5 linked regions of the Sus scrofa genome follow. The protein of the gene in region 2 binds, or shares a complex with, the protein of the main gene of each other region. Links are inferred from orthologs where the notes say so. Each region holds a gene or a part of one and is shown on either strand. Other genes may lie near its edges. The genes, in order: NRROS, TGFB1, TGFBR2, ITGB8 and LRRC32.

Region 1 (4,818 bases), on a different chromosome or scaffold from region 2:
AGAGCACCCAACCATGCTGGAGAATCCTGAGCAATGCCGTCAGGGTTACAAGCTGCCATGAAAAACCTTCTGTTTCCAGCTGCAAATCAGCATTGGTTTCGACTGGGAGTCTCAGGTCCTCCCTGCTGAGCCAGCTTGCTACTAGCCTAGAAGGAGAACTATTGGTGTTGTCTGCCAACCAACTGGCTTGTCTCCACACATCCTCGGGATCATTGGTTTTCTAAGTTCTTCTGAGAGGTGGCAGCTGCCTTTCTCAAAAGAAATTCTGTAGAGAACCTCAATGTATAAAATATTTAAAAGTGGAATTGCTGGGGATAAGGAGGGGAGGAAAATTCCAGAGTCCCACAAGACAGTCCTTAGGCGCCCTGAATCTGCTGGTTTTAAAAACTGCTGATCCAGGTAAGAGGCAGTGACAAGTCATGAAAGGGCTGTGAGTAGGGAGTGAGATGATTCAAAATACATTTTAGAAAGATGCCCAGGGCCACTAGGTGGTGCCTACTTTGGAGGCAGGGATCCAATCCCAGTTGAAGGAGGCTATGGAAATGATCCAGACATGAGTTGATAAGGTCTAGATCCAGGACAGTAGCAGCAGGATGAAGAGAAGGTTTAAAATCGGCTGGGATGGATAACCAATTGCATACGAGGGCTGGAGTCTCCAAGGGCTGGACTGCTGGGATGGAGGCATGCCATAAATAGTGACAGTCAAATAGGCTAAAGGATGAGTTCAGTTTGGGACACATTGCGTTTCTGCTACGCTGGGACATTAACCAGGACAATTAAAAATATAAGACTCGATTGTCTCTCTTGGGAGAGAATGTTGGAGCTAGAAATGACAATTTGGGAATAATGAACATACTGGTAGACACAAAAGACATGGAAGTAGAAAATGTGCACGCCAGGAGAACAAGGACGAAAAGACAACCTTGGTTTGTGACAATCTATTAGTTTTGTCATTGGTGTTATCATTATTACCATTATGAATGAATATTTTAGGGAGCAGAGGCAACTTACTGGATGTTTGGGGCATGTCCTTCCACTTGCTCCTGTTCTCTTAGGATTGACATGAGGGCAATAATAATGCAATACAGAATCACAGATCCCCAGGCTACAAGAGATGCGAGCCAGCCCTCCAGGACACTTCAGCTCTCCAGATCTGATGGGACAGAGCAGAACTGGAGATCCTGGCTCTGACTCCCCAGTGCTTGTTTGCATTACTCATTCTGCATTCGGCCAACACGGCAAATCTTTTGCTCCTCTACTAGATGGTAAGTTTTCGGAGAACAGGAGCTGTAAGAAAATGCATAAGGAGCTCTTAGCATAGGGCCTGGCACCCCTTTGATGGTGGCTATTATGAATTCAATTATTATTTTGAATTCTTGGCAAGAGCTAGCAGGGAATTTTGTGCACATCAGGTACCCAAAAATTCATCCTTGCTGCCTATGATCAAGACGTTCATGGCACCCTGACAGTCCAGCACAGAGCAATTTCCATTTCTTCTTCTTTTTATAATGGGCTGGAGTCCAATAAAGACTGGCTGGATGACTCTCTGCCAATTGGGAACCTTGTATCCTACCCATTCTCATAATCTGCTCCAGTTTGACCCTTGGGTATAACCTTGAAAAAGAGTTTCTGGGTCAGCAAAGCTCATAGGCAAAGGCCCCCCAGCTCTGCAAGAAAGTCCGGGGAGCCTTGGTTAGCACTGCTGGGAGACCATGAAAATATCTGACCCCTTTCGCAACCAATCCAGCAGGTAGTCCCGAGGCCACTGCCTCCCGCGCGCCCGCCCCCTCCCATCCCCCTCGCCACCCACCCGCGGCGGCAGTTCCCTCTGAGATGCCTGCTCTCGGTGAGTGCTGAGTCGCTGAGCAGCTTGTTCTCCATGTGACTTCAGTTTCCGTCAGTTCCTTCCGCAAGTGCGAAAATAATCTGATGCCCCAGAGAGAGCAGGCAGCCCAGCCCCGCGTTCGGCTGCTCTCGAGGAGGAGGAGGAGGAGGAGGAGGAGGAGGAGGAGGAGGCGGGAGCCCCGGGAGAGGATGCGCCCCGCGGAGCCGCCTGGGCCTGCGGGAGCCGTGAGTATTTCCCGCAGGGCAGCCTCGTGGTCCGGCGGCCGCGGCCCCTCCGGAGGCGGGCGGCTCAGGCGAGGTGGGGAGGCGGGAGGTCAGCACCCGTGGCCCACAGCTCGGGGCTGACGGGGAAGTTGTGGGTTGCTGCATCCAAGCTCCAGCAATTCTGTGCTTGGTTTGAGAGCTCCAGCTCTGGGTGGAGGTGCTAATACCTTCCTCTAGGAGACTTAGAGCTGAAAACGGTGGCGTGGTGTAGCAGAAACACGGAGGGCTTCAGAGTCAGACCTGGGTTTGATCCCTGTGGCTGGTGGGGAGTATGCCTGAGCCTCAGTCTCTTTATCTGTGAAATGGGAACAGTGATGTCCTTGGATGTAGTGAGGCTACGCTGTGAACTTTCAGCCTGTCTCTCCTGCCCCACAACGTGGATCCCACAACCACAGTTTCATAGATGAAGACCCTGAGACACCACCACCAACATGTATTTATGGATATCTTCCATGTGTAGGCGAGTCAGAGTTCAAGGTGTTGGGTGGGAGTAGAGCTGTGAAACAGACAGGCAAAGCCCCCTCCCCACAGGGCGTGTGTCCTTGAGAGGTTCCCTAGGGTTCTGCTGCTTGAATCCCACAGCCTGGAGACTAGACTCCAGGCTTCTCTGACCCCCTTGACCAGCGCTTTTCTGCAGCCCCTCCCAGCGTCTCCAGGTGGGCTGGATTCCGCATATATTCCTCCTGCACCCAGGAGCTGACAGAAGTAAGGAGGCACCCGAGCAGGCTGTGTGCTGCACTCAGGATGCGCTGCCAGGTCACTGCCCGCTGAGGGGGGTGGCCACGTGCCCAACTGTGGCGGGAACTCCAGGAGGCTGAGCCGGGTACTAGGAATGGAGCCCCTGGCTAGGGCTGGCCTGGGGTGGTGCACTTCCAGCGGGAGTGAAGGGATTCCCCTGGAGGTTTCTTTCATGCTGGGTGCAGCCTATTAGGAGTCTGGGCGGTAGAATCATTCAGAGTTTAAAGAGCCAGCCTTCCAAGATCTGTGCCCCCTTCACCTATTACTGGCTGTGCTGTACACACCTTTCTGTGGATGTTGATGGTTTACTTGGCTTTATAGTCCTGAGACTTACTTATTTTCCTCACACACCCCATAGGTGTGTACATGTATGTTTGGGAGTTCCTAGAGGGGGTTATAGAAGCATGGGCCCCGGGGTTGGGGGAGGACCTTGACTCTTTAGGTTAAACGAAAACCAAAACCTGCTTCACAAAAAGGTGTTTTCATCTAATGGGTGCTCTCGTGGGAACTTCATGAAAACCCTGATCCCACAGAGTCCTTAAACTCTGCACCCAAGAGCAGGAGCCTTCTTCCAAACAGCCAGCTCCTGGTGTCTTTGTCCTGGGGGCTCATGTTAGGAGTGCATTGACCTGGCTGTCTCTAGTCTTTTGAGTCTTTCAAAGAGTGCTGCTGGTACCGATCATAACCTGTGTTCTGGCTGCAGTGTGCATCCATATCACAAAAGGTGAGCTAGACTCTTGGATGGAGCTGTAGATGTACCTCACATCATGCTGAGATTCACACTGTAACCACATCCATTAGAGGAGGGTGGACTTTCACCCATGACTGGAAAAACTTATCATTCTTAGGACACGCTTGTGTGTTCAGATATGCTCACTGATGTATCTACACATTGGTGACAAGTAATTTTCTTTATTATGCTCATTCCTCCCCCCACCAAACTATTCTTCTCAGTCTCATCATCAAACAGATGTCATGTGTTCAATATGTAGTGGTTTCTGAGGTAGGTTAGATGATGATCTCTGAAAGCTCAGAGAGGTGAGAAGGAGGGGAAAGGACATTGATATTTAGATCTTATCAAGCCTCACAAGCAACTATCAACTTGAGTTTAAGGGTCTTTTAATTGCAAATCACAAAAACCCAACTCAGCTTGGTTTCAGTGGAAGGGGGAAAATAAAGAGGATTTATTCTTTCAAATAACCAAAAAGTCAGTGGGAAATAGCTTCAGGCATGGCTGGATCTGGGTGCTCAAACATTACCTGGAATCCATCCATCTCCATTTCATAATTTTGCTTTCCTTTATGTAGGCTTCATTATCAGGCAGATCCTAAAGTTGTTGGCAAAGCTGGCTGCTGGAAACTCTAAGCTTAATTCCCATCAGTTTGGCATCTGAAGCAGGAAGAGAAAGGCTCTTTTCTAATAGCTCTAACAAAAATCCTTAGATTGATACTCATGGGCGTGGCATCTGTGATGTACCCATTATAAAGCAAGCACTGTGGTTAAGGAATTAGGAGGCTCTGATGAGCCCAGCTGTATTCATTAGCCTCCTCTTGGATCCATGGACTCTTTAAGAAAGGAAGGGGGTTGTTTGCACAACAATATAAATGTACTTAACACTAATCATTTCTATACTCAAACTTGGTTAAGGTGGTAAATTTTACATTAGTGTATTTTACCACAAATACAAATTTTTTTAAAAAACAAGAGGCGTTTCCATTGTGGCTCAGTGGAAAAGAACCTGACTAGCACCCATGAGGATGCGGGGTCAATCCCTGGCCTCGCTCAGTGGGTCAAGGATCTGGCATTGCCATGAGCCATGGTGTAGGTCGCAGACGCTGCTCAGATCTGGCGTTACTGTGGTTGTGGCTGTGGCGTAGGCTGGCACCTTCAGCTCCAATTCGAGCCCTAGCCTGGGAATTTCCATATGCCGCAGATGCAGCCCTAAAAAATAAAATAAAATAAAAGGAAGAA
Region 2 (4,270 bases):
ACCGTTCCTGGCCCTTCTATCTCTCTTCCTCCCTGTTTGTCTCCCCGCTTGTGCTCTACCCTCCCTTTGGGGTCTGCTGAGTAACCCCTGGGCCAAGATAGGGCTTATTTGGCGGGTGAGGGGGGGGTGACTGGCCTGGCTAGACAAGGACTAGTAGGGGAAGGAGGCCCCCAGAAGGGGCTTCCTCTGTCCTTTCTCATCAGATGTCTCCAGCATGTCCCCCACCCCCCATGCACAGGCGGAAAGCAACTTCCCCAGTTGACCAGGCCTTCATGGCTGGCCTCCTCATTCCCAGCCCCCAACTTTTTCTAGATTAGAAGACACTCTTCCTAATTTTCTCTGTTCCCTTTCCTCTGCCCTTGAAGCCATTCCTACCTAGAATGAACTTTGCCATCTCTATCCAGCTGAGGGAGGAAGCAATTATTAGTAATAACAATAACAAGAGTAAGGTCATATTAGCAGGGAGGCAGCATAGTCTAGGGGTTAACAGAGTCTCTGGAATCAGACTGCCTGAGTTGGAATCTCCATTCTGCAGTTTCCTAGCTGTGTGGTCTTGGGGCAAGTTGCTTCATCTCTTTGTGCCTCAGTTTCCTCACCTATAAAATGGGTATAATAACAGTATCTTCGTCATGGGGTTGTTGAACACACACATTGGTGTGACCACAGTATGCAGTCTCTTTGCGACATGCTTTATCTGCCATCATCTCACTTATTTCACACTGTCATCCTGCAGTCAGTCCTTGCCTTACAGGGGAGAATCTGGCACAGAGAGAGGAGACCAAAGGTACACAGTGCTTCAGTTAGGAGAGCCTGGGTTGAGAAGCAGAGAACTTGATGTCAAGTTGATCTTTCCTAAAGAATAGGAAACTGGAGTTCCCGTCGTGGCACAGTGGTTAACGAATCTGACTAGGAACCATGAGGTTGAGGTTCGGTCCCTGCCCTTGCTCAGTGGGTTAAGGATCCGGCGTTGCCGTGAGCTGTGGTGTAGGTTGCAGACGCGGCTCGGATCCTGCGTTGCTGTGGCTCTGGCGTAGGCCGGTGGCTACAGCTCCGATTCAACCCCTAGCCTGGGAACCTCCATATGCCGCGGGAACGGCCCAAGAAATAGCAACAACAACAACAACAAAAGACAAAAAAAAAAAAAAAAAAAATGAATAGGAAACTGAGGCGCCAAGAGGGAATGTGACTTGCTCAAAGTCACAGAAGGCAGTAGAGGCACACAGTCTGATCCAAATGCCCTCAATCCCTATGCAATGTAACTTGCATTTGGGGAGTTCAGTGGCTTGGCAGTTTAAGAAACTGACTAGTAGCCATGAAGATGCGGGTTTGACCCCTGGCCTTGCTCAGTGGATTAAGGATCTGGCATTGCCACGATCTGCGGCTCCCTCTGGCATTGCTGTGGCTGTGGCGTAGACCGGCAGCTGCAGCTCTGATTCAACCCCTAGCCCAGGAACTTCTGACCCTAAGAAAGAAAAAGAGAGAAAAAAAACCCATAACTTGCATTGGCGGCTGTAAGTGCTGGGGAGGCCTGAGTAAGCAGAGCAGCCCCCACCCCGGTGCCAGCCTCGTACTGAGGGCACACTTCCTGCATGGTGGGAGGGGAAGGTGGATGAGACCTCGATTAAAGAGGAAGAAACAAACCCAGAGAGAAGCCCGGTGCCCAAGGTCGCACAGCTAAAAAGCGTCTGGTGGGGGGGCTCCAACCCAGTTCTGTCAGCCCTTAGACTTGGGGTGTGCCAACCCTCCTGTGCCTGTTAAGCCCTAACATCCCCCCTCTCCGCTCCTGCCTAGAAATCTATGATAAATTCAAGGGCACCCCCCACAGCTTATATATGCTGTTCAACACGTCGGAGCTCCGGGAAGCGGTGCCGGAACCTGTATTGCTCTCTCGGGCAGAGCTGCGCCTGCTGAGGCTCAAGTTAAAAGTGGAGCAGCACGTGGAGCTATACCAGGTGGGGGTCTGGGCCCCAAAGGTGGCCTGGGCTGGGGCAGTGCTGTGGTGGCTGGAAGGCTGGTGGCTACCGAGATCCACACAGATGGACCCCGAAGGATGGGGTGGTGGGCACAGACACAGTGCTTTCCGACACCTATAGCCTTTGGACGATAAACATTTAGAAGGCCTGAATCTTAGGAGTTGGACTCGAAGAACTCAGGACTCCTGAAAGTTGCAATCTCTGGAAAGGTTGGAGACTCAAAATGCTCTGTCCCACACAGCAGCCACTAGCCACGTATGGCCATTTAAGTTGTTCAAATGAAATGAAAGAGGGAGTTCCTGTTGTGGCTCAGCCGTAACAAACCTGACTAGTATCCATGAGGTTGCAGGTTTGATCCCTGGCCTCGCTCAGTGGGTTAAGGATCTAGCATTGCCGTGAGCTGTGGTGTAGGTCGCAGACGTGGCTCAGATCTGGCGATGCTGTGGTTGTGGGGTAGGCCAGCAGCTGCAGCTCTGATTAGACCCCTAGCCTGGGAGCTTCCATATGCTGCGGGTGCAGCCAAAAAAAAAAAAAAATTAAACGAGAGAAAAAATTCAGTTCCTCAGTCTCACTGACCGTATTTCAAGTGGCCCATAGTCACATGGGGTTAGTGGCTGCTATTTTGGACACCACAGATAAAGAACATTTCCATCAACACAGAAAGTTCTTTGGATAGCTCTGTTCTAGAAGATTTAGAGTCTCCAGGAAGATTGGGTCCTCCAGAAGGACTGGATTCTCTTGAAGGTCATGTGAGCCAGAATCCCTATCAGGTAGAATGTTCTATTCCATAGCAGGTGGTAGACTCTTTTCACAAGGAACTTTTAGTGTTAACTTCTTGGAGTCTAGAGAACCTGGCTTCGTGCTGCCGACTTCCAGGGGTCATTCCACAGGGAGGGCAGGCATCTGCAACATCTAGGTTGGTGACACGTCAGACTCCTGGGTTTGTAGAACTTTAGTCTCATAGAATTTCTCAGGCTGATTGAACAGGTAATTCCGGGGTGCTCCCCGAGGGCTGGAGTTATGGAATGACTTCTAACATAAGCCCCCAGAAACCCCTATAGACTTTTGGTGTTCGGGTGGCCAAATTTCCAGAACTGTATAGTTAATAACCCTCACGATGTCTGGAAGGAGAATCATAGCCTCGTGGGCTGTCCAGGCTGAAAGGGGCCTGGCATTTCACCAGTGGGGAAACCGAGGCCAAAGCGGGAGAGGGGTTTTCCAGGGCCATGCCTGAGGTCCAGGGTGGAGGCTGAGCTGCCCATGTGCCTTGACCCCAGCCTGGGGCTCTCCCTCCCCTGCGGGCTGCTCTGGGCCTGGGCAGTTACTGGGGGGCCTCTGTGTGGATGTCTTCGAGGGGGCTGTTGGAGGGCCGGTTTGGGGAGCGGGTGGAGGGAGGGCTGCAGTGGACATGGGGGTGAGTGGCGGCATCTACCCACTGTTTCCTCCCCAAATTCATCATCCTCCAGAAATACAGCAATGATTCCTGGCGCTACCTCAGCAACCGGCTGCTGGCCCCCAGTGACTCACCGGAGTGGCTGTCCTTTGATGTCACCGGAGTTGTGCGGCAGTGGCTGACCCGCAGAGGTGAGGACCGCTTGTCTGCCCCACCCCTATTTTGTAATAGCCTTGAGCCCATTGTTTGTCCTGGGATTGCCCTGCCTAGTACCCCCCACCCCATGTTGGTGCCAAAGAGCCCGGGCCTGGCCCTCTTCCCCAGACACTCAAACCTGAGTGATGAATGGTTAATCCGTTTCCTGAGCACCTGCCCTGTGCTGAGTGATGCTGCGGACACTGCAGTGACCCAAACCGCCCCATCCTTGCCCTCGTGGTAGGGTGAGGGGATTTGGGGAAAAAACCTAAAAAAGCTCCCTGGTGGCCTAGCTGTTAAGGATTCAGTGTTGTTGCTGCTGTGGTTCACGTTCAGTCCCTGGCCTGGGAACTTCTGCATGCTGTGGGTACGGTCCCAAAAAGTGAAAAATAAAAACCAGGTAGTAATGTCCCAGAGTTGGACAGGATTGGGATGGGGAGCTCAGAGGAGGGCCTCTGAGCCAGACCAGGAGGTCAGGGAGGGCTTCCTGGAGGAGGGGACATTGAAGTGGGTGTCTGGGGTTTGAGTGACCCAGCCTGGGGAGGAAGGAGGGACAAGAGTGATCAAGGCAGGAGTTCCCATTGTGGCTCAGTGGTGACAAACCCATCTAGTATCCATGAGGATGTGGGTTCGATCCCTGGCCTCGCTCAGTGGGTTAAGGATCTGGTGTTTCTGTGAGCTGTGGTGTAGATCACAGACATGGCTCAGA
Region 3 (4,270 bases), on a different chromosome or scaffold from region 2:
CAGTGTGGTGCTCTCAGCCGGCCAGTGATGGGGAAGTAGGGAAAGAGATAGGAATCCAAAAAGTAGAGTTGTAGTTATTTAAATCAAATTGTGCTCACTCATTACATAGGAAAAGGTGGCGTGCTATGAAAATGTATAAAATGGAACATTTTCCCAGGTTTTCCTAGATTTCCTTTAGGGAATGACACTTAGGCTGAGTTTGTGGTTTTTTGTTTTTTGTTTGCTTTTTGGAGCAGAGGAAGGACTGTGCAAGGAAAATGGGTGGCTCATGCCCCCCAAAACCACAAACTTCTGGAGGGTTTTCAGCAAAGTGTTTTTATTGAGGTATAATAGATTTACAATGTTGTGTTAATTTCCGCTTTACAGGAATGTGACTCAGTTATACTAAGTTTATGCAATGTGACTCAGTTATATATATATATATATATATATATATATATTCTTTTTCATATTCTTTTCCATTATAGTTTATCAGAGGATATTGGATATAGTTCTCTGTACTACATAGTAGAACCTTGTTGCTTATCCAGTCTGTATGTAATACTTTGCATCTGCTAATCCCAAACTCCCACTCCTTTCCTCCCACACTGCCTTCCCTCTTGGCAACCACAAGCCTGTTCTCAATGTCAGACTGTTTCTGTTTCATAAATAGGTTCATTTGTATCATATATATATATATATATATATATATTTTTTTTTTTTTAGGGCCGCACCCCCAGCACATGGAAGTTCCCAGGCTGGGTGTCCAATTGGAGCTATAGCTGTCAGCCTCATATTTTAGATTCCATAACTGATATCATACGATATTTTGCTTTCTGACTTCTTCACTTAGTTTGATAATCTCTAGGTCGATCCATGTTGTTGTAGACAGCATTATTTCATTCTTCTTTATGGGTGATAAATAATCCATTATATATATAATATATAATAATGTAATACTATTATAATAATATAACATATATATACTACATAATTATATAGATTATATATATACACACCCACACGTATATATCTCCCACATCTTCTTTATCCATTCCTCTGCTGGTGGTCATCCAGTTTGTTCCCATGTCCTGGCAATTATGAGCAGTGCCAGCAAAGCATTTTTAAAGGTCAGGTGAGGGAAGGAGGTCCCACGGTATGTGACCTGCTCATGCACAATTCTCTGGTTGATGTTGGGTTTTGAGGGAAGAGTAAGAGGCATTGACTAGATGACACAGAGGCAGAGGAGACTGGACAAGGGCACTCTAGCATCCATCCTAGGAATACAAGTTACCATATGTTATCCATAAAAGCTATGCAGATGGTAAAACCTATGCTGCCCAAGGTGTGGACCCACTTCCCTCCACTGTGCACCCACTGAACCAACTCCTTCTCTCCTGTGTTTCCACTGCAGAGTATGCCACCAACAACCCCGACTTGCTGTTAGTCATCTTCCAAGTGACAGGTGTCAGCCTCCTGCCACCACTAGGCATCGCCATCGCCGTCATCATCACCTTCTACTGCTACCGTGTCCACCGGCAGCAGAAGCTGAGCCCATCCTGGGACTCAGGGAAGCCGCGGAAGCTGATGGAGTTCAGTGAGCACCTGGCCATCATCCTGGAGGATGACCGCTCCGACATCAGCTCCACCTGTGCCAACAACATCAACCACAACACGGAACTGCTGCCCATCGAGCTGGACACCCTGGTGGGCAAAGGGCGCTTTGCCGAGGTCTATAAGGCCAAGCTGAGGCAGAACACATCTGAGCAGTTCGAGACCGTGGCTGTCAAGATCTTCCCCTATGAGGAGTATGCCTCCTGGAAGACAGAGAAGGACATCTTCTCGGACATCAACCTCAAGCACGAGAACATCCTGCAGTTCCTGACAGCTGAGGAACGCAAGACAGAGCTGGGCAAGCAGTACTGGCTGATCACTGCCTTCCACGCCAAGGGCAACCTGCAGGAGTATCTGACGCGCCACGTCATCAGCTGGGAGGACCTCCGCAGGCTGGGCGGCTCGCTGGCCCGTGGCATTGCACACCTGCACAGCGACCACACCCTGTGCGGCCGGCCCAAGATGCCCATCGTGCACAGGGACCTCAAGAGCTCCAACATCCTGGTCAAAGGTGACCTCACCTGCTGCCTCTGTGACTTCGGCCTCTCCCTGCGGCTGGACCCCACTCTGTCAGTGGATGACTTGGCCAACAGTGGGCAGGTAGGGTGGCTCAGTTCCCTCCCCTTGGTCCTTCCCCCCCCCGCCCCCGCTATCTCCATCAGCCCTGAGCTCAGACACTTGTCCAGGGATCCAGCCAAGCGAGCAGTTAACCCTGGCCATGTCCCATGCTCCTGCCAGGGAGCCTTTGTCGACCAACAGCTTTTCTCTTCCTGTTCCTAGATCCTTCCCAGTTCAGGATGGGCTTTTTCTCCTTGAGTCAATCCTCATGTCTCTCCCATTTGGACATTTTTTTTTTTTTTTGCTTCCAACCCTGCTAGTACTGTATCTTTATCTGTTTTTTTCTCCGGTCTTAGGATTGTACTCAGCCCTTTCTGCTCTGTACTCTTGGTCCTTATATGGGTTTCTTTTTTATCATTCTAGAAGGCAGTTTCCTTGAAGTCCAAATCCATATCCATTTGGTCCCACCCAGCACAATGCCTTGAACAGGGAAAGTGATCAATGAGTATTTGTGGAGTGAGTGAGGGGTGAAGGAACAGTTCCCCTTTTGAAACATCTCAAATTAAAACCAAAACCTTTCTGGCTAAGGAGCTATTAGGAACAGACGAAAATTACCATCATCCTTTATGAAAGTTGGCCCTGTGTTTCACATGCCGGACCAGCTGTGGATTAGAGTGGTGTCTTGCGAGCATATTGCCCTTCTAGCCAAGTGGAGAGATGTGCTTTTGAAACCTCTAGGCTCTGCTCAGGCAGCCCTCAGGGTCCATGACTGCACATTCAGTATTGACGTAAACATGTTGAAACAGATTAACTGGCCACAGGGTAAGGAGTCATGCAATGACTGATTAAAAGAATTTTTTTTTCTAATGCATTGCAATAAAAAACATTATTTGGGATACTATTATCAACTGATAGATATTCCCTGGATCTTTGGCAAGGCAGGGCTTCATTGCTATTTAGTCAGTCTGTACATGCTGCATTATGAAACATTCAAGTAATTTTTTTTTTCCCCTAGAAATATGTTTTTTTCTTTTTTCCTATGTATTGCAGAATTTTCAGAATATCAGTCATCATTCAAATAAAACGACATGGCATACCCATGACATACCCATCAAAATTATAAAATGATCCACGTTTGGACTTTTAATGGAAATACTTTCATACAATTCAATTTAGCAGAGATTTTATGAAATTATACGACATCCTGGGGACATCAGAATATGCCATGGGGTACACAAAGAAGATTGAACTCAAGTGGCAAAAAATTAATGGCAGTTATTATTTTCACCATCTACCTTGAAGCTTCAAGAATGAAAATGTATTTAATTTACAAAAACAAAAGTAAATATCAAAAGTATCACCATCGTCATCTCAGGTTCTCTGCAGGGATGTTATTATATACATAATAGGATGACATGTGTCAGGGGGCTAGACAAAGCAGCTCTGGGGATTGGTATTTCCTTATTTTGGCATTTTTTTTCTTGATATTCTTTAACAGGTTTTCAGGGAGAGAACACCTACTTTAAAAAAAATACTTACAAAAACTGTGCTTTTCTGTGCAGGTCTCATTATTTGTAAAAGCACTGTGCTTTTAAAGACCAACTACCCAAGTAGGGGACAAACAGCAGCTATATGTTGAAAAGAGACATGCAGTTGGCATGCAGTGATGGGCTTCAATGTCTGCTTTTGCTTTAGGTGGGAACTGCAAGATACATGGCTCCTGAAGTCCTAGAGTCCAGGATGAATTTGGAGAATGTTGAGTCCTTCAAGCAGACGGATGTCTACTCCATGGCTCTGGTGCTCTGGGAGATGACGTCTCGCTGCAACGCGGTGGGAGGTAGGCATGGACCACCGCCATGGCACCCTGGTACCTGACACGCCCTCCAAAATGATGTCATGCCCTTTGCTTCAGCACAATTCCAGGGAGACAAAAGAGTTAATCTGCAGTGAGAGCCAATTGAGATCTGGTAGGACACAGCCCTTCCAGAATGAAAGCCAGGTTTGGAGCATAGAGTGTTGCCTCTCCTTTCTTGAAGTATAATTACTTTTCTCTTGACCCATCTCTCCTCAGATATTTATATCTTTGGCAAGAGATGAACACTAGTAATATTTATAAGAA
Region 4 (4,270 bases), on a different chromosome or scaffold from region 2:
AGCTCACTGAATTTGGCTCTGAAAAGAGCCCTGCCAGCTGGGGCTGAAGCAATCACACCCGAAAGCCAAATGCCTTTGCTAATAAATAGAGCCCTATTGTCAACATGTCATTTATTAGGTTAAGTAAACAAACCTACTCTGACTTAAATATGGTTACAAAAAGTATTCCCTTAATGCTCCTTAGGAAAAGACCTTGCTTAACCTAAACTAAGAAAAGAGTCATGGCCAGAGCTAAATGTTTGGCCCTCCAAAGCTAAAAATTTAAGACTGCATACAGATTTGAACCCTGAAAATGTCCTCCAACCTAACTCATTAGAAATATTTGTAAAATGTATTACTAGCTAGGGAATCTCTCCTCCCCTTCACAACTGCTGTGCAAGGAGAGGGAACTGCATTTTTTTTTTTCTTTTTTTTTTAGCTACCTCTATTATCTACCCACTTGATCACACTTAAAGGGTATTCTTTTGATCTTTCTGGCTAAGGTTCTACTAGGCAAGAAGCCAATAAGTGAGATCAAGCCACATGCCCTCTTAGCTGATTAAGCAGTTACAAGTCACTGAAGGGAAATGAAAGGCGTGCATGTCATGAACCCAGGCACCACCAAGAACACCACCTTTGAATAGAGAGGGCATCTTGGATTCTCTCTGTAAGACTGCAACAAAGGGAGACTTGTACTTGTGTTTAGTGCTTCTATTCCCTTTAGCCTTTCCTTCAAGGAACCTTATCATTACAACCAAGAGAAAACTGGGCTCTAAGTCTTCCCACTTGGCGAAGAGCCCTTGTCCTTGTTACTGAGTTCTTGGCTTATTCAAGAACATGCTTGGTCCTCCCTCGGAATTCAAACAGAAATCACTCTTGATTGGGTGACTGCTCTTCTAAGCCTTAGTAGGTCCCTTCTCAAAAGACTTCCCAAGAAAACTTTTAGACATTTAGGTGAAGTCCTCAAAGTTTGGAGAATGGGCAGAAAACACACGCTTCTTTAGGCCAGAAGGTAATTTTATGAATGTGGAGCAGGTGGTGAATTTTGTGGAATACTTGTGCATTGCGCAACCAGGTTCCTCTTAGACTAGGGTAATACCTCTGGCAGCCACAGAGCCTGTAAACTTTCCAACTCAAGTTTGCCAAGGACGTAGGACTGAAACAGAGACCTAGCATGCCCCTCCTCTTAATGCAGCATTTCCTTTTCCAGCTAGTAATTATTTGTTCTTGAAAAAACATACAGTGGAATTTTTAAAAGCAAAATAGAATAGGTTTGGTCAACAGACAAGTGAAAACTAAATTGACAAACACTGAGGAAAGAGATTTCGGTTTTATTGTCCCAAACTGTACACCCCCACTTCCTGAAGAAGCTATGTGTAATAATAATGAAAACTTGCACTGCAGTTTCAAAGGAAACATTTATTCATCTATTAGAGTAGTAAAGATTTTAGCTTCTGCAGATGTTTATTTTCCATTACTGATGTGCAACAAATGAAGAGAAAGCCTAACAAGAGAAATATATGCTAATACACAGAGCTGTTAAACATTTTTTTAAATCCTATTTTCCACTTAGTGATCAAGTGGAAATGATCAGTAGTGATCAGTGTGTAGTGATCAGTATACACCACAAAAACCATCCCTCTCTCTGTCATAAATAAAATGATACTTAGTTAAAGGGATGTGGACATATCCCAGTTAATACAATTAAGGAAATCAAGCTGCAGAGAAATAATCTTATTGAATACCTTAACTGTGGCTATTGTCCAAAGGAGAGTTTTCTGTTGAAAATATTTTATTAATGAGTGTGTAATAAAGTTAGTTTACTTTTTGAATCAACAGTAATGGCAGTCCTCTTTTTGAAAACGTAGATTTGCACAATATCTATGATCCTATTAATAGAGACAATGAACATTATTTACTTGTTAGAATCCTTTGGTTTATTCATTCCAAATTTTTAACCCATTTATTTGTTTGCTTCTTTACAGAATGTTTCTCTAGCCCGAGCTATTTGAGAATATTTTTCATCATCTTCATAGTTACATTCTTGATTGGGTTGCTTAAAGTCCTTATCATTAGACAGGTTATACTACAATGGAATAGTAATAAAATTAAGTCCTCGGCAGATTACAGGGTATCAGCCTCAAAAAAGGTCAGTGAATTCTAAAAAAGGTTTACTATCAGTATGTTATTGTCTAGTTTTAATATTTAGGCTCTTAATTAATGAATATTTCTTCTCCCTCAAGGACAAGTCAATTCTACAAAGTGTTTGCACAAGAGCGGTCACCTACCGACGTGAGAAACCTGAAGAAATAAAAATGGATATTAGCAAATTAAATGCTCATGAAACTTTCAGGTGCAACTTTTAAAAAGATAAAAAAAATGTACTTTATGGGAAACTGGATTTTTAATAATTGCTCCTACAAATTTTTTGAGAAGTCACAGAGGAGACAAATTTTCCAGATCATGCCAGTTGCTAGTATTTCACTCGATTGAAGACTGACAAGCATCCTCATCATCATGTGACTCACACTGCTGCTGAATTTTTCAGAGAAAAATGTGTCTTACTACTGTTTGATACTAGTGTCATTGTAGCACTTTACTGTAATATATAACTTATTTAGATCAGCATAGAATGTAGATCATCTGAAGAGCACTGATTACACTTTACAGGTACCTGCCATTCCTACACTTCTCAGAGGGACAATGCTGTGAGATAGTTTTGGCATTGTGTCACTACAAGGGTACAGTAATCCCTGCACCAAATATGCAGATGGAAAAAATAATAAGGCAGTCATACTAATGTTGCCAAATACTTCAACAATTGGCAATGAATAAATAAGAACAGCTAGATGAATAAATGGTTAGTTTTTACTCATTCAAGAGGAACAGATAATACCTTAATCTTGAGGGATACTGCTTTTCAAAGTGTAGTTTTATGCATGTGTGTTTGTTTCCTTCTTTTTATAAGATGGATACTAATTCCAACGTTCTTTCCTCTTTGCCTTTATATTTTGGTTTTCTTTCTTATAAGATAGGTTTATATATGTCACAGATGACTGGATTAAATAAGTGCTAAGTTACTACTGCCATAAAAACCTAATAATACAATGTCACTTTATCAGAATACTGATTTTAAAAGCTGAATGTTCAATAAGGGAAACAGTCAACTAACATCAAAATCTGAATAATTTTGTTGCTTGCATGTGTGGAGTTTTACATCTTCTTACCTTGTAAACTGGATGGTTTTCATCATTTCCTGTATCTAAACATCAGGTTGAAATTCCCAAGATATTAAGAAACTCTGCCTAAAGCAAGTGCCACACTTTCAAATGTGTTTTCTCCAATATTTACTCAAAGTAGAGAATAGCATTTTTCAAATTAAAAGCAATATTAAGCTATATTATTTTTGCCCTTTGATGCAGTATAAAAACATTCTTTTCCTGAATCACCACAATTCCACCCACCAGAATTCTAAAAGTGTACAATTGGAGGCAGCTAGACAATATTTTAGAAATAAGCTAATTCACCCTGTCAGTCAGTCAGGGAATAGAGGCTCAGAAAGTTTAAATGATTTGTTAAAAACCCCCAAGTGACTAAGTGACAGGAAAGAGAACTATTTTCTTATCATCAGGCCAGTGTTCGACTACCTCTTGAATCTTTAAACTTTTCAATTGGCAAGTATTTTAAAATGTGATTTACTGAAGTTTTAAGTATATGGCCATGAGAAAATTTCAAGGCAAAGCAGAAAAAAGTAATTCAAAGAAAATTGTCCATGGTTGCTTCTAGTTTTTCTGCTAATTAGCTTCTAAGAGACTTCATCATGGCCTAACTAGAGGGAAGTCCATTCACACCATAATCTGTGTGAATGGCGCCCCCTGGAGTTGTGAAGTGCTCAGTGCTCAGCCTGAAAGCTTGATATAGAGGCCATGAACTTTCATCTTCCCCAATGGGAACTTCATTACAATTACCATATCCTGCAGACTTATTCAGCCTGATTTTATTGGCTAAAAGTCCAACAGTCCTGTGTGCAGTACGGATCTTTGCCTATGACAACAAAGGAATTTATTTAAAATGTTTTCTTAGAACTAACTTCCCAGATTTTCTGTCTTCCAGGACTTGAGTTAATCAAAGTGCCAGGTATTTGCATTTAGACAAAAACTAAATCCCACTGCATATTCTACACTAAAGAGGATTTAAAAACATATGATAAGTTGTTCTGGAGCCAACAAACACGGTAATTCCATCCACTGTCCCCTGCAGCCAAGCACTTACGATGCCAGGTTGGACTGGA
Region 5 (4,861 bases), on a different chromosome or scaffold from region 2:
AGAGATGAAGGAAGGGGCGCTGAGCACGTGGGGTTCCCGCTTTCAGCCCCCAGTCCCAAGAGGCATCTGCAGCGGGTAGGTACGCTTGGTTGCCCATCTGTCTCCAACTCTTGGGGTGCCCCATCCAGGCACTGAGTGAGGTGGACCTCTGTGAACTGACTAACCACAACCACAGGCTGGGGGGGGCGGTGCGGGGAGGCGGTTGCTCCCCCAACCCCCAGCCCGCCAGAGCCCCTGCCCCGCCCTACCCCAGCCAAAGCTCTGCACCAGCCCAGCGGTTTCTGCTTGGCAGCAGCTCAGAAGAGAGTGAGGTGGCGCTGATGGGCTGGGGGGCAGGGGGTGGGTTGGTCCCGAGAGGCCGGGAATTGTCGACTCCAACTCAGCCATGCTCTGCCCGCGCTGCAGGACTACCACGAAGTGCTTCCCTTGGACAAGGATCTGGAAAAGGAAGCCTCCAGGGTGTGGCAGAGGAATCTCGCTGCAATAAAGACAGCGAGAGGTCCGTTATTCTTAGTTCTGGGACTATTCTTAGTACCAGGGAAGAAGCTACCATCTTACCCACTTTACAGATGGGGAAACTGAGGTTTCCTTTGACCAGATGAGCACTAAAGCCCAGAGAGAGGGTTGCAAAGGCCAGAGGGGCCCTCCCTCAGCCTAGATCTGAAGTTCTAGATCTAGAACCTGTGGGTTGGGGGGGTGCACCCTTCCCAGGTCCTGCAACCTTTCCTACCCTGGCCCTCATTGCAGCTCAGGCCCCTCCCAGCTATCACAGATGCCCTGCTCTGGGCTGTGCCCATCTTCCCAGGCTTGTCCTCCACATTAAGCCAGATTGGGGCGGGGGGCGACAACGAAAGGCAGCTGCCATCTAGAGTTCAGGGACCTCAGTTTCTAAGTCCAGCTTCACCCCGATTTACCACAAGGCTTTGGGTGGCCAACTTCCCAACTGTAAAGTGGGGCACCTGTGCCACCCTCAGGGCTGTGACCATCAGGGAAGCGAGACATCGAGGAAGACAATTTCTCTTCTGCCCTCGGAACTAGGTCTGGAGGACTGGAGGACAGCTGTGCCCCTCCGCCCCTAGGCACCCCTACCAGGGGGCCCCACCCAGCAGGGCACGGTAGCTAGATTTGGTAGGGCCATGGCCTGTAGGAGAGGGGGTGGCTTTGGGGAAGATGACCCTCAGCTTCTGGTGTAAAAGAATGATGCCACCGGGGCTGCTTTTGCACAGCGCTCTGAGCCAACCTGAGAAAGATGGTGCCTGGAAAAGGGCCCCCACTTTGGCCTGGCCTTAGCTTTGGGGACAGACTGGGTTGAAATCCCTGTCTCTTAGAATCCGTGTGACTTCGCATAAGCCATTTAACCTCGCTGGACTCAGTTTCCCCAGACCCTGGCACTGGTTTTTATTTATCCTCGCCATGCCCCTCCCTGGCCTGTTTCTCCATCTGGATTCTGGGGACTTTGGTGACACCTTTTCACAGAACCGGGAGACGGGGAGGAGGAGGACGGGTCTAGGCCCTAGAGCACCATCCAGAGAGGAGAAGTGACGGGCCTGGATCTCCCGGGGCGGGGTGGGGTGGGGTGGCTGCGGTGTGGGGAACCCCCTCTGCGGCCACCCCAGGGCCAGTGAAAGGTCATTTCCTTCCGCCTTCGGCGCTGCCGGCACCTCTCCTGTGTGCTCCCCCCTCAGTGCGGCGGCGCCTACCGGGCCGGGGGAAATCGGGGCCAGGGCGGATTTCCTCTGCGGACCTGCGGCTCCCAGAGCCACCCGCCCCCCGGACCCCGCGGGGCCCCGACCTGCACGTGCGGTGGTGGCCGGGCTCGGCCTCTCTCGGTCTGCGCTTCCTCAGCGACCCCTCTCCCTCCCCGCCCTCGGATCCCGCCCCCTCCCCGGCCGGGTTTCAGCTTCTGGAAAATGCTTCTCCCGCTGGCGGGGTCCGGATAAACCGAGTCACGGGGGCGCGCCGGGCGGGCGCTAGGACCCCGCGGCTGGCCCGAGGGGGGGCGTGGTGGGGCGGGTCGGCGGGAGAGCTATTTAAATTGGAGCCCGAGCCGCCCCCTCGCGGGTCGGGCTCCCGTGGGGCGGTGGACTGGCTGTGCACCTCCTCGGGCCGTGACCCCGGGGTCTGGCGCGGGGTGGAGCCGGGGGGCGGGGGGCGGGCGGGTTCGCGCAAAATGTGCCGGGGCTGCCCGGGAGAGGAGCGGCGGCCGCGCTGAGCCAGGTAGGAGCCGCCCGGCGGGCGAGGCTGGCCCTCGGGGAACCCGCGGTCCCGCGCCCCTCAGGAGCCCAGGGCGCGGAGCAGAGCTGGGGCAAGTCCACCCAGACGCTGATCCCCAACAGGCCCCTCCTATCGCGGTCCCCTGCGTCGCGCGTGGAGCCAGGGTTGAACCTCCCTCGGCCCCTGACGTCTCCGAGGCTCCTAGCTCAGCAGATCTGTCCCGCGAAGGACGACGAGGCTGGCGGTCCCATTTGACAGATGGGAAAACAACTGCAGAAAGGCCGGCCCTTGCCCAGGGAACACACGGCGAGTCCGGGGAGGTTCAGGGTTCGCATCCCGGCCTCGGCCCACCCTCTGACCCTGGCCGGACGTGGTCTTCCCATTCCACCGCACCAGATAGCCTGCCTGTCTCTGGGATGTGGGGGGCGGTGGGGGGGGCGGGGCACCCACCTCTCTCCAAGGGGCTCCGCAGCCAGCCGTCTTCCTGGGTGGTAGGATGTGAGGGACCCCCGCCCCCACCCTCAGCTGCCTGAAATTCCGCCATCACAGCCACATTCCTTTGGGTTAAGGTCTAATTCCCCCGTGGGTTGCACATGTCTCCAGAATGGGCCTTGCCCTTAGTGATTCACTGCCTGGTGGGACCGGCAGCAGCAGCTCTCCCAGGACCCCACTCTGCCGGTGATCGGAGCTGAGAGGTGGGAGAGGCGTGTCCCAGAGCCCAGCCCCGTGAGCCTGTGTGTGTGTGTGTGTGTGTGTGTGTGTGTGTTGAGGTTAGAGGATCATTAGAGGGGGTTGGGGAGTGAGATCTGGGCCTGGTGTTGTGGAACCATTTGCTCTGGAGGCAGACAGACTGGATTCTACTCCCGATTCTGCCATTTCCTGCCTGTGTGACTTTGGGTAAGTCACCTCTCCGAGCCTGGTTTTCCTCATGGGCAGATACTGTTGGGGCAGGCAGCTCAGCCTGGGCTGGAGAAAACACAGCCTTGGGGCCATGTAGGCCTGGGCTGAATCCCATCAGGCTTATGAGCTGGGTAACTGTGGGGTAAGTCACTTCGCCTTCCTGAGCCTCAGTGTTCTCATCTGTAAAATGGAAATTGTAGTAACTACTTCATTGGAGTTGTGAGAGTGAAATGAAATGATACGGGTCACGTGCTTAGAGGAGTGTCTAACGTCCTTAAACAGTAGGAGTGGGCTTAGTGTGGTATTAGGCATCGCCCCCACCCCATTTCTCCCCCTCGTGTCTCTCTCTCTCTCTCTCTCTCTTGAAGTTCAGGCTTCTAGGATGTCCCCTGCCTCCTCTCTTCTGGGCCACTTGTCTTCAGGCTTGGGGTCTCCCCTTCAGCCTTTCTCTCCTTGTCTGGGCGGCTCAGCCCAAGGGTTTGTCCCCGCTGGGAGACACAATATATGTCCAGGGCATGTTCACAGCCATTCTCGGCTTGATTATCACAACCATTGGCAGCAAAAGGTGGCAAAACAGGAACCAGGCTCCTTGCCCTGCAGATGGGACACTGAGGCACTGAAACGTGAAGGGACTTGGCCCAGGGAGCAGGGCTGGTGAGCAGTAGAGGCTGGATGGGAGCCTGGGTCTCAGGGACCCCAGTCCTCCCTCTGAGCCTTCAGATTCTAGGCACTGTGTCTTGGGTGCTGATGAAGGGTGCCCGCAGCCACGGGCCTTCTCTCTCTGTCAGATGGCAGGGCGGAGTTCCACCTGCTGCAGGGAGGGTCCCTCCTGGATGCTCAGATGCCCGCCTTGGGGCTAGGGTGGAATTAGGCAGAGGAGGGGAAAAGGAGGGCCCCTTTGGGCAGCGATGCCCTCAAGTTCCGAACTGCTCCAGGTCCTTCCTTGTTCGTTTCTTGCACTTTGCACTTCCCACTCCGCCCTTTGCCGTGCACACCTAACCCTGGCTTTGCTAATTGTCCCATAGATCTTTAGTGAGCCCCGCCTCCCAGACCCCTGATCTCATAGAATAAGAAGTAAGTGGAAATGATCCACGCGAGGAAAACAGTGAGCCGTGTGCAGATCTGGGAAGCGCCTTCCAGGTGGAGGCAGCAGCAAGGGCAAAGGCCCTGAGGCAGGAATGCACTTGCTGGGTTTGAGGAATGGCGTGAAAGCCAGAAGTGGGTGAGAGAAGGGCAGAGGGTAGACGGGAGAGAGGAGACTGTGGAGAGCCTGGATTTTGTGGGAGGTTTTCAAGCAGTGAGCTTCGTGATCTGAGACATGACTTAAGGCATCGCTCCAGCTGCTTTGGGTGGGACAGACTGAAAGAGGTCGGGCTGGAAACAGGGTGCTGCTGGGGTCAAGGCCCAGGGTCCTGGAGATGCTCAGTCTGCGGCAGTGATGGGGGAGGGAGGCAGAGCCGCGGAATACTTTTTAAGGAGAGCAGACAGAGCCGGGAAGGAGTGTGACAGGAAGGGGACCTCAGAACAACCATTCTCGCCAGGTCGCCGTGTCACCCCAGTGATGCCTTGTGTCACTTCTCATACCTTCCCCAGCCTGCCCACTGGAGGGAGCGTGTGAGATGGGTCCCAGAGCAGAGAGAGGCCCCTCTGCCTGGGGGCACTTCCCATGTTGGGGGCTGGGGGTGGGCTCCGGGAGCCACAGAGGGCTCAGTGCTGGAGGAGGGGCCAAAACGTGGCCCGGACGTGG

What was found.
Region 1: the proteins of TGFB1 (region 2) and NRROS are in contact, whole or in part, in a cryo-EM structure (PDB 7Y1R), measured with the Homo sapiens proteins. The link is inferred for Sus scrofa from reciprocal best matches to the Homo sapiens genes TGFB1 and NRROS. Residues at the interface, in NP_000651.3 of Homo sapiens: Leu30, Ser31, Thr32, Cys33, Thr35; in NP_940967.1 of Homo sapiens: Phe194, Glu195, Ile196, Glu197, Gly198, Gly199, Phe201, Leu210, Leu212, Pro218, Cys219, Ile220, Val221, Asp222, Phe223, Gly224, Leu225.
Region 3: the proteins of TGFB1 (region 2) and TGFBR2 are in contact, whole or in part, in a cryo-EM structure (PDB 9FKP), measured with the Homo sapiens proteins. The link is inferred for Sus scrofa from reciprocal best matches to the Homo sapiens genes TGFB1 and TGFBR2. Residues at the interface, in NP_000651.3 of Homo sapiens: Arg303, Lys309, Trp310, His312, Tyr368, Tyr369, Val370, Gly371, Arg372, Lys373; in NP_003233.4 of Homo sapiens: Phe47, Leu50, Phe53, Asp55, Ser72, Ile73, Thr74, Ser75, Ile76, Cys77, Glu78, Val100, Asp141, Glu142.
Region 4: the proteins of TGFB1 (region 2) and ITGB8 are in contact, whole or in part, in a cryo-EM structure (PDB 7Y1T), measured with the Homo sapiens proteins. The link is inferred for Sus scrofa from reciprocal best matches to the Homo sapiens genes TGFB1 and ITGB8. Residues at the interface, in NP_000651.3 of Homo sapiens: His117, Thr241, Arg243, Arg244, Gly245, Asp246, Leu247, Thr249, Ile250, His251, Gly252, Met253; in NP_002205.1 of Homo sapiens: Ser156, Ala157, Ser158, His160, Asn161, Asp213, Tyr214, Asn215, Leu216, Gly248, Asn249, Ile250, Asp251, Thr252, Glu254, Gln286.
Region 5: the proteins of TGFB1 (region 2) and LRRC32 are in contact, whole or in part, in a cryo-EM structure (PDB 8VSC), measured with the Homo sapiens proteins. The link is inferred for Sus scrofa from reciprocal best matches to the Homo sapiens genes TGFB1 and LRRC32. Residues at the interface, in NP_000651.3 of Homo sapiens: Leu30, Ser31, Thr32, Cys33, Lys34, Pro325, Pro327, Tyr328, Ile329, Trp330, Ser331, Leu332, Thr334, Gln335, Tyr336, Val339, Leu342, His346, Ala353, Pro354; in NP_001122394.1 of Homo sapiens: Ser135, Tyr137, Glu158, Ser160, Thr162, Val184, Met186, Asp187, Ile188, Glu189, Asp190, Phe193, Leu202, Leu204, Arg206, Asn207, Ser208, Leu209, Thr210, Cys211, Ile212, Ser213, Asp214, Phe215, Ser216, Leu217, Leu223, Leu225, Cys227, Ser229.

Annotation. Positions count from the first base shown.
Region 1 is NC_010455.5:133,493,235-133,498,052, reverse strand, and holds the start of NRROS (negative regulator of reactive oxygen species), read left to right. Parts: upstream 1-1,834; 5' UTR 1,835-2,070; intron 2,071-4,818. UniProt on the Homo sapiens protein: Key regulator of transforming growth factor beta-1 (TGFB1) specifically required for microglia function in the nervous system.
Region 2 is NC_010448.4:49,341,834-49,346,103, reverse strand, and holds part of TGFB1 (transforming growth factor beta-1), read left to right. Parts: intron 1-1,791; coding exon 1,792-1,952; intron 1,953-3,439; coding exon 3,440-3,557; intron 3,558-4,270. UniProt on the Homo sapiens protein: Transforming growth factor beta-1 proprotein: Precursor of the Latency-associated peptide (LAP) and Transforming growth factor beta-1 (TGF-beta-1) chains, which constitute the regulatory and active subunit of TGF-beta-1, respectively.
Region 3 is NC_010455.5:16,846,606-16,850,875, forward strand, and holds part of TGFBR2 (TGF-beta receptor type-2), read left to right. Parts: intron 1-1,393; coding exon 1,394-2,193; intron 2,194-3,846; coding exon 3,847-3,988; intron 3,989-4,270. UniProt on the Homo sapiens protein: Transmembrane serine/threonine kinase forming with the TGF-beta type I serine/threonine kinase receptor, TGFBR1, the non-promiscuous receptor for the TGF-beta cytokines TGFB1, TGFB2 and TGFB3.
Region 4 is NC_010451.4:89,443,010-89,447,279, forward strand, and holds part of ITGB8 (integrin beta-8), read left to right. Parts: intron 1-1,964; coding exon 1,965-2,128; intron 2,129-2,222; coding exon 2,223-2,345; 3' UTR 2,346-4,270. UniProt on the Homo sapiens protein: Integrin alpha-V:beta-8 (ITGAV:ITGB8) is a receptor for fibronectin. It recognizes the sequence R-G-D in its ligands.
Region 5 is NC_010451.4:10,812,761-10,817,621, reverse strand, and holds the start of LRRC32 (leucine-rich repeat-containing protein 32), read left to right. Parts: upstream 1-1,729; 5' UTR 1,730-2,217; intron 2,218-2,820; exon of another isoform or gene 2,821-2,909; intron 2,910-2,943; exon of another isoform or gene 2,944-3,111; intron 3,112-3,134; exon of another isoform or gene 3,135-4,861.